Linked DNA regions of Oryctolagus cuniculus. Each later gene encodes a partner of the first gene's protein in a complex. Links are inferred from orthologs where the notes say so. Each region holds a gene or a part of one and is shown in the gene's direction. Other genes may lie near its edges. The genes, in order: CNNM2, ARL15 and protein tyrosine phosphatase type IVA 1.

The links.
Region 2: the proteins of CNNM2 (region 1) and ARL15 are in contact, whole or in part, in a crystal structure (PDB 8F6D), measured with the Homo sapiens proteins. The link is inferred for Oryctolagus cuniculus from reciprocal best matches to the Homo sapiens genes CNNM2 and ARL15. Residues at the interface, in NP_060119.3 of Homo sapiens: Asn490, Val492, Pro521, Leu522, His523, Phe524, Val525, Phe526, Thr529, Glu537, Lys542, Ser543, Gln549; in NP_061960.1 of Homo sapiens: Tyr92, Ser94, Arg95, Gln98, Gln128, His129, Pro130, Gln131, Cys133.
Region 3: the proteins of CNNM2 (region 1) and protein tyrosine phosphatase type IVA 1 are in contact, whole or in part, in a crystal structure (PDB 5MMZ), measured with the Mus musculus proteins. The link is inferred for Oryctolagus cuniculus from reciprocal best matches to the Homo sapiens genes CNNM2 and PTP4A1. Residues at the interface, in NP_291047.2 of Mus musculus: Phe526, Asp528, Val551, Asn553, Glu556, Gly557, Asp558, Pro559, Phe560, Tyr561; in NP_035330.1 of Mus musculus: Asp72, Gly73, Ala74, Gly107, Leu108, Gly109, Arg110, Arg137, Arg138, Gly139, Ala140, Phe141, Asn142, Lys144, Gln145.

Annotation. Positions count from the first base shown.
Region 1 is NC_091446.1:27,088,480-27,092,783, reverse strand, and holds the start of CNNM2 (metal transporter CNNM2), read left to right. Parts: upstream 1-1,437; 5' UTR 1,438-1,622; coding exon 1,623-3,243; intron 3,244-4,304.
Region 2 is NC_091445.1:75,115,982-75,120,349, reverse strand, and holds the start of ARL15 (ADP-ribosylation factor-like protein 15), read left to right. Parts: upstream 1-1,427; 5' UTR 1,428-1,542; coding exon 1,543-1,590; intron 1,591-4,368.
Region 3 is NC_091432.1:77,597,480-77,600,323, forward strand, and holds protein tyrosine phosphatase type IVA 1, read left to right. Parts: upstream 1-1,409; 5' UTR 1,410-1,553; coding exon 1,554-2,075; 3' UTR 2,076-2,212; downstream 2,213-2,844. UniProt on the Homo sapiens protein: Protein tyrosine phosphatase which stimulates progression from G1 into S phase during mitosis. May play a role in the development and maintenance of differentiating epithelial tissues.

The DNA of each region.
Region 1 (4,304 bases):
CCTAGTGGTCAGGACCTCGGGGGTCTGGGTGCCTGCACCCCATGTCCAAGTGTCTCAGTCACTGCTTCCAGCCCATCTTCTTTTTAATGCGCGTCCTTGGAGCCAGCAGGTTATGGCTCAGGTACTTTGGTCTCTCACTCAGTTCTCAGCTTTTGGCCTAGGGTTAGCTCAGCCTTGGCCGTGCCAGCCCTTGGGGAGTGAGCCAGCGGATGGGAGCCCCCTCTCTGCCTCTCTGCCTCTGGGGGCGGGAAACCCAGGAACTTTTATGGACCTTTTTAAGATGTCTGCCTCGTGGAGGATGGCCCAAGTGCTTGGGCCCTGCACCCCATGGGAGACCAGAGAAGCACCTGGCTCCTGCCTTCAGATCGGCGGGCCACAGCGCGCCAGCCATGGCGGCCATTGGAGGGTGAACCAACGGCAAAGGGAAGACCTTTTTCTCTCTCTCTCACTGTCCACTCTGCCTGTCAAAAAAAAAAAAAAAAAAAAAAAAAAAAAAATTCCACTCCTTTTCCAAACTTGCCTGATAGCCTGTTAGGAACGCAAGTTCTGGGCGTTTCCTATTTCACATGGATGGGATACAGCGAATACGTGTATACAGTCCTTCCAGCAAGACCACATGGGAATTCTTAGGACCAACAAGTAACGCCCCTAGTCTGGATTCCCGCACACCTGTTGGGGTGGGCAGCCCATCTGGAAAGTGTTGCAGGGCGCCCACAGCGCCGGCAGGTGGCGCCACGTGACCGCAGAGAGCGCGCTGCTCCGCGAAGCGGCGGGCGGTCTGAGAGCCGCTCTGCCTCGGTGCCGGGGCCGCCTGGCTGCCGCTGACTCCCGCAGAGCGGCGCGCACGAGTAGCGGGCGGGTGGGGGCATGGCTGGTGCCCGGTCTTCTTTTTAGGCCATGTGGCGCCTAAGCCGTGCTTAGTCGGCTTCTCGGGGTACCGGGACCGGAGGGTGCAGTCTTTGCGGCCCCCGCATAGAGCTCTACGGAACCGGCAAGGCTGTGCCGCCGAAAGGGCGGCCTCCCGCTGCGGGGCTCTGGCCCCACCCGGCCCAGCCGGGCGCGGGGATCTACTACCGAGCCCCCTCAGGGAGAACCGGACCCTCGGACAGCTCCTTTCCATTGGCAGCCGGGCGGGAGGCCCCGCCCCCTCCCCTACGGTTCTCATCTCTGACTGGTTCTCGCGTCCCGGCCGGCCACGCCTCCTCCCCTCGCACATACACAAGAGTCACGCGCCTTTCAGTAGGAAACTTGTCGTGCTGAGGAGGACCGTGGCCCTCCTCGCCCCACCCACTTACCTTGCTATTGGCCCACAGCACTGCGTGCGGCCACGCCCCCATTCCAGCCCCCTGGCTGTGAGGGCGGGCTCCCGCTCGTGATTGGCTGGCTGACCTGCCTCTCGCGGGAGCGGCGAGCCCGCCCCTCCTTCTCACTCCCGCCCCCCACCCCCCCCTGCCCGCGAGCCTCGGGGTTTCTCCGCTGGCTGCGGCCGAATCAGTGTCAGTCAGGGAGGCGGACTGATAAGCACTGGGCGCTGACGCTCCGCTGCAGTCTCGCCCCGGGGCCGGTGCCTGTGCTCGCGCCGCCGGGTAGAAGGATGAGGCCGCAGCTGGAGCAGCCACCCTATGATTGGCTGTGGCGCTTGTGAACCCGAAGTAAAGATGGCGGGCGGGCAGGCAGCCGCCGCACTGCCCACTTGGAAGATGGCGGCGCGCCGCAGCCCCAGCGCCCGCGACCGGGGGGTCCTGCAGGCGGCGGCGGCGCGGCTGCTGCTGCTGCTGCTGCTGAGCTGCTGCTGCGGCGCGGGCGGCTGCGCCGCGGCCGGCGAGAGCGAGGAGACCGTGATCATCGGGCTGCGGCTGGAGGACACGAACGACGTGTCGTTCATGGAAGGGGGGGCGCTGCGGGTGAGCGAACGCACCCGGGTCAAGCTGCGGGTGTACGGGCAGAACATCAACAACGAGACGTGGTCCCGCATCGCCTTCACCGAGCACGAGCGGCAGCGCCACAGCCCCGGCGAGCGCGGGCTGGGCGGCCCCGCGCCGCCGGAGCCGGACAGCGGCCCCCAGCGCTGCGGCATCCGCACCTCGGACATCATCATCCTGCCGCACATCATCCTCAACCGCCGCACGTCTGGCATCATCGAGATCGAGATCAAGCCGCTGCGCAAGATGGAGAAGAGCAAGTCCTACTACCTGTGCACGTCGCTCTCCACGCCCGCGCTGGGCGCCGGCGGCCCGGGCTCGGCGGGCGGCAAGGGCGGCGGCAAGGGCGGCGCGGGGGTGGCCGGGCTGCCGCCGCCGCCCTGGGCCGAGACCACCTGGATCTACCACGACGGCGAGGACACCAAGATGATCGTGGGCGAGGAGAAGAAGTTCCTGCTGCCCTTCTGGCTGCAGGTGATCTTCATCTCGCTGCTGCTCTGCCTGTCGGGCATGTTCAGCGGCCTCAACCTGGGGCTCATGGCCCTGGACCCCATGGAGCTGCGCATCGTGCAGAACTGCGGCACCGAGAAGGAGAAGAACTACGCCAAGCGCATCGAGCCCGTGCGCCGGCAGGGCAACTACCTGCTGTGCTCGCTGCTGCTGGGCAACGTGCTGGTCAACACCACGCTCACCATCCTGCTGGACGACATCGCCGGCTCGGGCCTCGTGGCCGTGGTGGTCTCCACCATCGGCATCGTCATCTTCGGCGAGATCGTGCCCCAGGCCATCTGCTCCCGGCACGGCCTGGCCGTCGGCGCCAACACCATCTTCCTCACCAAGTTCTTCATGATGATGACCTTCCCGGCCTCGTACCCGGTCAGCAAGCTGCTGGACTGCGTCCTGGGCCAGGAGATCGGCACCGTGTACAACCGGGAGAAGCTGCTGGAGATGCTGCGGGTCACCGACCCCTACAACGACCTGGTGAAAGAGGAGCTGAACATCATCCAGGGCGCGCTGGAGCTGCGCACCAAGACGGTGGAGGACGTGATGACCCCGCTGCGCGACTGCTTCATGATCACCGGAGAGGCCATCCTGGACTTCAACACCATGTCGGAGATCATGGAGAGCGGCTACACGCGCATCCCCGTGTTCGAGGGCGAGCGCTCCAACATCGTGGACCTGCTCTTCGTCAAGGACCTGGCCTTCGTGGATCCGGACGACTGCACTCCGCTGAAAACCATCACCAAGTTTTATAACCACCCCTTGCACTTTGTTTTCAATGACACCAAATTGGACGCTATGCTGGAGGAATTTAAGAAAGGTGGGAGATTCTGGTCTCTTTCCTTGGCTTGCTCCTCTTTCTCTCTCCATCCCCGCCCCCCACCTCCACCCCCAAACACACACACACACACACACACACACACACACTGGCGTCCTCCACCCTCACACCAACCCCCCAAGGCGAGTTGACCGGAATTTCTCCTTCTCTCTTTGTTGCGAAGTTGAAAGGGTGGCGTGGATTGGGGGGACGGATTGAACTGGTCCGCAAAGGCGCGAGAGTGCCGGCCGGGCGCGTCCTTGCTTGGTGATTCCTGTGCACGGTGATACCCTAACCCCGCACCCCCTACGCGGCGCACGGGGTGGGCTCGGGTCTCCAGGGGTCTGCCGCACTCCCTGTCTGGGTTCTGAGTGGGGCTGGGCTGATGCCATGCCATTTGGTTGCCAGGAACAAATCCCAGGCATCTGGGAAATATCGGAACAGCTTTCTAAACCTAGGACAGACTTCTTCGTCCTTTCGCTCGACCACAGTGAAGGTTCAGAGGCGCGATTCATTCTCTATAGCTTCTTGTTTCTCGTCGGGCACCCTGGGGTGAGGGTGGGGGTGGGGATAGGTTGAGGTCTGCCTCTGAGGCCTGAGGACCACCTAAGCCAAGTACCGCCACAAAAATTCATTCATTCATTCATTCATTCGGGATGTGGCTTGCCTTAGCTAGGATAGAGGTTTTCATGAGAACTGAAGCGAGCTGTTAACCTGTGACTTGGGCTGACCGGAGCAGGCGAGTTAGTTAACCTTTTGTGAGGCTCTGGCTCCTGTCTCTTTCTTCCCTCCTTGTTTACATTGACCTGACAACTAAAATATCCCAAACCAAGTGTGGTTTTGGCAAACAGCTTGAACCTTTAACAACGGCATGCCTCTTTCTCCGTTAATTATAGCTTATTTATTTCTTGACTGGCTGCAGTTTAAAAGTGTTCTTTTCTCACTTGGCCACCTGATAGGTTGACTTGGAGTCAGTCTCTAAGCCAGCTCTCCCTGTTCCGGGGTGTTCTGCAGGGACGGGCCAGCAGGGCCGCACCTGGTGTGGTTCTCAGCATCTCATTTCT
Region 2 (4,368 bases), on another chromosome or scaffold:
CTGCTCCTCTTCCAATCCAGCTCTCTGCTATGGCCTGGGAAAGCAGTACAAGATGGCCTAAGTGCTTGGGCCCCTGCACCCCTGTGGGAGACTAGGAAGAAGCACCTGGATCCTGGCTTTGGATCAGTGCAGCCCTGGCTGTTGCAGCCAACTGAGGAGTGAACCAGCGGAAAGAAGACCTCTGTTTCCTCCCTCTGTCTGTAGCTCTACCTCTGAAATAAATAAAATCTTAAAAAAAAAAAAATCTAGCTGTCTTCTTCCTTCTATCCCCAACTGCAAAGAAAGGAGGACTTGGGGAGGGAGGGAAGATAGGAATATCATTATACTCTTAGAGTTGTATCTGTGAACTATACTAAACTTGTTAAAAAGTAATTCAAAAAAAAAAAAAAAAAAAAAAAGGCGGGCTTATTTTTGCCTCCTTCTTGTCTTGATCGAGCATGGCACTCACAGACTGAATCTTCAAGAAAGGAGCCTCCAGTCTCCTTACCCACCTTCGGTTTGATCCAATACTGAAATCTCAATGCTAGTTTCCAAGTTAACAACGAGGAAACGCACAGATCTCAAGTCTACCTGCTCAGAGAGATTTCCACTTTTTAAAACGACATTGTTAGCACTACTCGGGCCTTTTCGGAGCGCGGCTCACTCTCACTCATCCTGTTCAGGGACCTTGGATCTGCGCTCAGGGACACTGCACTCCAACGCGTGCAACGCGCCGATCAGCCGGTACTGTCCCCTCTCCTGCGGGGAGAAACACAACTGACTCCAGCAACTCCTCCAACTCGCTTTCTCCTTTCCCGTGGAGAAAAGTGATTCTCCCGGGGACGGCCCCGAGTGTCCGCTGGCTGCCGGCGGGGCTTGTGTGTCCCCTCAGGAATGCCGCGCCGGGAACTGCCCACCTGAGCGGGTTCACAGGACGAGGTGCGGGCGGGCTGCGCTCCCCACAGCCGCCCACAAGCCAGCCGGTTCAGAGCGCCCTTCCACACACGTCCCGTCCAGGTGGTGCCGCCTCAAGGCCGCGGAGCCGCAGGGAGAGCGCCCTCGGGCTACCACGCCTCCCTCCTCACAGACCTCGCTTCCTACCGGAGGCTGCGCGGGGACGCCGAGGGCCCTGGAGCACCGCGCTCCGCTCCGTTGTCCCCAACCCGGAGGCCACGGCAGCCCACAGAACGCAGGCAGCCGCGGCAGCCGCCGATTTTCCGTTCCCCCAGTTCCCTCTTCCGCCTGCGCCGCCCGCCCCCGCTCCCGCCCCTCAGCCGGGCACACAGGAACCTGCGCCCTGCTCTCTCCCGCGCTTCTCCGCGGCCGCCCGTAGGGGCCTGCCTTTTATAGGCGCGGCAGCCAATGAGCGCGCTCCTTCCCTTCGGCCCGCCCGCCCGCCCGCCCAATCGCCGCGCCCCTTGTGTTAGGTTCGGCTCCTCGGCTGCTCTCGGTTATTTTCGCTGTTGCTGGCTTTTTCAGGAGCTGCTCGCTCGCAGCTAGAGACGCTGCCTTTTTTTTTTTTTTTCCGGGTTCGGAGCCGTTCCGGATGCTTTAGGCTGCCGGATGTCTGATCTCCGGATAACTGAGGCGTTTCTGTACATGGATTATCTGGTAGGTGCGGGCAATGGGGTGGTGTGTCGCCTCTGGGACCTCGGCTGGCCCCGCCGGCCGCCGCCGGGAGGAACTGCCTTTTTGCTTTCTTTCTCTGGGCTGGGATGCCTCGGGGGTTCTTCCTCCCGCTGCCGGCTCTTGAAGGCGTGCCCTGGGCTCTCGGGGTGGGGGGCGGCAGGGTGCGGGAGCTGACAGGTGACGGTGCGGCCCGGGCCAGCTCGGCGGCTGCGCGGGGGTCGCGCGGCGAGATGCGGGCCGGGCTGCGGGGCGTCCCGTGCCGGCGATGGAGGCTCCCTGGCTTCCCCGTGCGCTGCCCGCCGAGGACTTGCTTTTCCGGGGAAGCAGGAGTTTTCCGCTCTCCCCGGAGCACAACTCCAGGTGCTATTAAAGAGCCATAACCGAGAATGGCTCTCTAAGTGCCTGGCAGCCCCGCTCATTTGGTTGCTATTAGACTGGGAGAGCGCTGACCCGGGAGGCGGCGGGGTTCTGCAGGCACGTTCCCGGCCCGCGCCGGGGCGAGCCTGCACCGCCGTCGGGCCGGCGTCCTGCGCGCGGATCGGGTCCCGGCTGCACTTTGTTTAGGCCGGGCTCGAGCTGGGAGGTTGACGTGGGGGCGAAAAGCGGCAGCTCAGGGGCTGGGGCTGCTCGGAAAACTGACTTGTGGGAGTGCGCGCGTGTGGAATTATGCAAGCCCCGCGTTGTGTTCCAGAAATCTTGATTTCCCCATCGCCGCCTGTTTCCGTGGTGCCGAGGCTCTTCCCCGGCGCGGGCTGTGCTCGGCCCCGCGCCGTGGCGGCGTTTGCGGTGCGGGGCGGAAGCCGGCGGAGAGGGACAGCTGGCCCCGCTGTCCACCGGCTGGACGCGGGCACCTGGCTTACGGCTGCAGGTGGGCCCTGGCCGGGATGGGCCGGTGCCTTCTAGGAATTAGGCTGAAAGCTTTGCGGAGGCCGAGAGCCGCTGGGCAGGGCTGGTTTTTGCAGTATTATCTGCGCGTTTTGCGCTTGCAGAAAACGCCTGCCCTGTGCTACGTGCACTTGAGGAGGGAGGCTGCCCCTGGCAGCTCGTGTGCCGCCCTGCGAATGGAGCGCCGTCCAACATTCAAGTTCAAGTTCTGTGCTGTCGCTGCTATGTGGATGGCAGCGACTTCCTCTCTCCTGGCCTTCCAGGGATTCTGCTTACTCCCTGCTGAAGCAGGTGAGGGGACTGTCTTGTTGGCAGCGTGCTTTCCAATGCAAGGCGCTCTTGGGTTGAGCTGCCTGGTGCGTCCGAGAGATGACTTATTACGTTGCACGACGGATGAATGTGTAGCCTGTCTTAAAAAGTGTAGTGTGCGGTTGTGTCGTGCAGTCTGCCCACATTCAAGCTGAAGTGTGGTCGGGGGTTATTAGCAAACGGGAGAGGGTAAGCATCGCCTGGCTACCACCCAAGGCTAGTGTTGGATTCCTGAGTGAGTTGTGCCTAAAGAAGGCACTCAGGTGGTTCTGGTCATTTTGTTATTGTCTTTGTTTTACCGAATGTGTTTTAAATTTTCAAATTGTTATCACGCAGCTGTCTCTGAGGTGCCAAACCCAAGGAAGCTCTCAGTGAAAGCAATGTTGAAAACCGGTCGGTTACCGTTTAAATGGGTGCATGAATGTGGGCTCAATGGTGACCCAAAAACAGATCAGTTTCCATGCCAATTTACTGTTTGTGTCAACATCATGGGCCCCACATTTGACCTCACCTTTTTGTTTTACCTGCCACCCATCCACATACATTCTAGTTTTGCTTTGCTATATATATATATATATATATATATATATATATATATATATAAATTGTTTTGTTGCTTTAACCATGCTTGTAAAGACAAGTGCAGTGAGATAATTTCATAGAACTCTTTGGAAGTGAGAAAAAAATTTTTTAAACCAGTTCAATCCTTATGAGTGTATTTCCCAGATATTCCCTGTGAAAAGATTAAGAAAATCTTTCAGCATGAAACTGGACTGAAGAAAAAAAACACAAACAACGCCCTCCCACCGTGGTGCTTCCGTTCAGGTGCTGCATGTCAGCTTTTAGAAGAAATGTGCCACACGGCCCTCATTTTTCCCTGTCTTGCAGATCGACTTGTTTGCATATGCTTTATATGGTGTTTATTAAAAACTGCTTCTGAAAAAAAAAAAAACCACAATTTCTTGTGTCCAGGATCTTATTTTTTAAATGACTCCATCCCCAAATTCTTTTACTTACCTTGCTGGGGAGAAAAAATTCCTCTTATTCCAAGTTTGAGTCCTGATTTTGCATAGTAGACTAGAATAAGCTCTCTTCCCAGGCACTTGATGGGAATAATTGTGTGTGCCTTCTTTTTTTAAAATTGGGGTTTGCTTTTGGAATGTGGAAGAGAGCGAGCACACGCTGCGTGTGTCTGTTGTCATTGTTCTTTGGACTGGATGTCACCACCTAACCTTTATTATTTGGAGGGGAGAGGAAAGGAAGAGAAAGAGGAAGGTAGAGGTGCTATTTGTAACGGCTTTCAATCCGATTAAGATGGTAAAGCCGAAGCAGCAGTTCTCCGATCTTAGCTGTTGCTGTTTTTTTTTTTTAAGAAATGTTCTCAATTAGAGGTTATAGCTGGTGAGGGTCAAGGATAGTCCCTGATATTTAAGACAGGGCTTTTATTGATTTCAATACAGGGGAATAGCGGTAATTTGTTGGTCAGAACTAATTCTGTACATCACCTGGTGTGGTGGCTCACCTGAGTCCTGGCACGGAGTTAGGGCCCAGTATCTGTGTAATCAC
Region 3 (2,844 bases), on another chromosome or scaffold:
GAAGCTGAATCTTAAGCTATTTAATCACTAAAAGAATAGCAATGGGATGTATAATAGACTATATGTATTAGGTAGGCTCCAGAGCTAGAATGCAGAATTCAAATCTCAGCCTTGACAATTAGTAGTTGGGTGATTTTGGGCAAATTATTTAATGCTTCTAAGCCTATATTTTTAAAATCAGGACAATGGAAATACTAATATGTAAATCACAGGGCAGTTGTAAAATTTAAGTAAAGCTATTTAAATGTAGAACAGTGCCTCACCTAAAGTAAGTGCTAAAAAAAAAAGGTGTCAGTCACAATTACAACTTCCAAAACAGGAAGGGGAAAACATGAATATATGGGGGGTTGGGAACTTAACTCCAAAAGAAATGTAAAAAGATTCCTAAAGTATGGATATAGGAGTCAAATAGCACAAAATAAGGAAATATGAATCAAATAGCAAAAATAAGGGGCCAAAACATCATGCACGCAGTTTTAAAGTTAAAAGACAAAGGTTGTCAGGAAAAAAAAAAAGCTACTGTGCTGTTTATGAAACATGAAAGAGATGGGTAAAAGTGCAGGGTCAATAGGCTAGTCGGGGTCAATGCTTTGGAATCTTCTAGAACCTTCCTTCCCCTATGCTGGTCTCCGTCTACCCCCATGTTCCCTTCAGCCTCTTGGAGGCTTCCTCCTCCACCATCCCCATCCGCGTACCCCTCCTCAGCCGTCTCTGCTCCTCAGAGGCAGGCGGTGACTGAGGCTCCATGGCCTCTCCCTTTGGCCTTGAGTTCACACCAGCGGCACCCATGGCAACCATCGCCCCGGGGAGGGCCTCACGCCCGCGCTCATTGGCTCTCAGGCGGCCCTGCCGCTGCGGTTGGTGAGGGCGCAGTGCCTACGCCGCGCCGGCTATTAAAGGAGCGCTTGTGACGCAATGGCGCCTTGGCGCGCGTATTGGCTCCCGCCAGGCTGTGCCCGAGCTGCTTGGCCACGGTGGAGCCTCGTGTCTCGCCGCTGCCGCCGCCCTGTGACGGCCACTCCCGCTCCTGGACTTGCCGCTGCCGCCGCGTGTGTCGCCGCCACGGGCCTGGCTGTATGAGTAGGCCACAATCTTTCATGAGTAAACATATTCCTTTCTGTGGGGTTTTTGGTCACGCATTTATGGAGTTTCTGAAGGGCCCTGGAGATTACTGCCAGGCACAGCACGGCCTTTATGAGGACAAGTGAACTTGAGAAAGTCACTCTACTCCAGCAGGACGTCCCCATCAGAGAGAATAACCTGGACACAGACGTGTTGAATTGAAAGCATTGGAACATTTTACAAGAGTTCTGACCCGAATGGGGTAAACCTCTGTGCACTTGCTTTCCACCGACTCGGCATTATTAGTGAGTCGAAGAACAGCTGCTGCTTCTCAGGAAATTCATCTCATTTTCTGTCACCTGCCTATCTGAAGTGCTGAGAATTTCAAGTGGAGTGTATTGAGGTGGACTTCAGTTTCTTGACATCATTTCTGTATTCAAAAGCTTTTAATTTTTTCGTGACCGTATTGAGTGGTTTTAAACGAAATTAACATGGCTCCGATGAACCGCCCGGCTCCTGTGGAAGTCACATACAGGAACATGAGATTCCTTATTACACACAACCCAACCACTGCAACCTTAAACAGGTTTATAGAGGAACTTAAGAAATACGGAGTTACCACAATAGTGAGAGTGTGTGAAGCAACTTACGACACCGCCCTCATGGAGAAAGAAGGTATCCAGGTTCTGGATTGGCCTTTTGATGATGGATCATCTCCTTCCAATCAGATTGTTGATGACTGGTTAAGTCTTGTAAACATTAAATTCCGTGAAGAACCTGGTTGTTGTATTGCTGTCCACTGTGTTGCGGGTCTTGGGAGAACCCCAGTGCTTGTTGCCTTAGCGTTAATTGAAAGTGGAATGAAAAATGAAGATGCAGTGCAGTTTATTAGACAAAAGCGGCGTGGAGCTTTTAACAGCAAACAACTTTTGTATTTGGAGAAATACCGTTCTAAAATGCGGCTGCGCTTCAAAGACTCCAGTGGTCACAGAAACAACTGTTGCATTCAATAAAACTTAGCTGCCTGATGCTATTGCCTTGGAAGTGGAACTTGAGACTGGATCTAATTTTTCAGATCTATTAGCCAACATCTTAGTGAATAAGTCTAATGAAGCTCCCATAGGAATGTTGAAAAGCCACAAGCTTGACAGAATTGCCACTTCTGTTTTGCTTACTATTTATTATCCTATGCCAAAAAACAATATATAAAAAGTATAGTGAGATTAGATGCCAAGATACCCAGTACAATATGTGTTTATTTTTAGTATCATACAGAATTAAAATCCCAGGAACTTTGAACAGTACTCTAGACCTTACATCATTTATTCTTTAAGTCCTTTGAAACATTATAATAGGGCTTGTATGGTTATTTGTCTGTTCCTTTATGTTCACTACCCACAAGTGTACTGGTTTGTGCAACAAGTGATTTTGTTGGATTCTTATCAAGTCTTATGGTGATTATTTAGTCTTTCTATAAGTTCCTGTTAGGAAAAACTTTATTTTGAGAAATTAACCTCTGGTTTAAAGTTCATGCAAAATTCTCGTTGTGCAAGAAACACATGTGTTTAATGTCATCAGACAAAAAAGTCTTACCTTTGGGGTACAACTTAAGAGGGGAGGCAGAATGGGAGGAAGCTATGAAATATTTAGAGTAAAACACCTCTATCTTATATGGGATATAAAATAGGCCCTTTAATTTAGTGAAAATTATCTTGAAAGGTAGAGATCTTCATCTTTTTAGCTAAAACAATTTTTAGACACAAAATTTCTGAAAATCTTGTA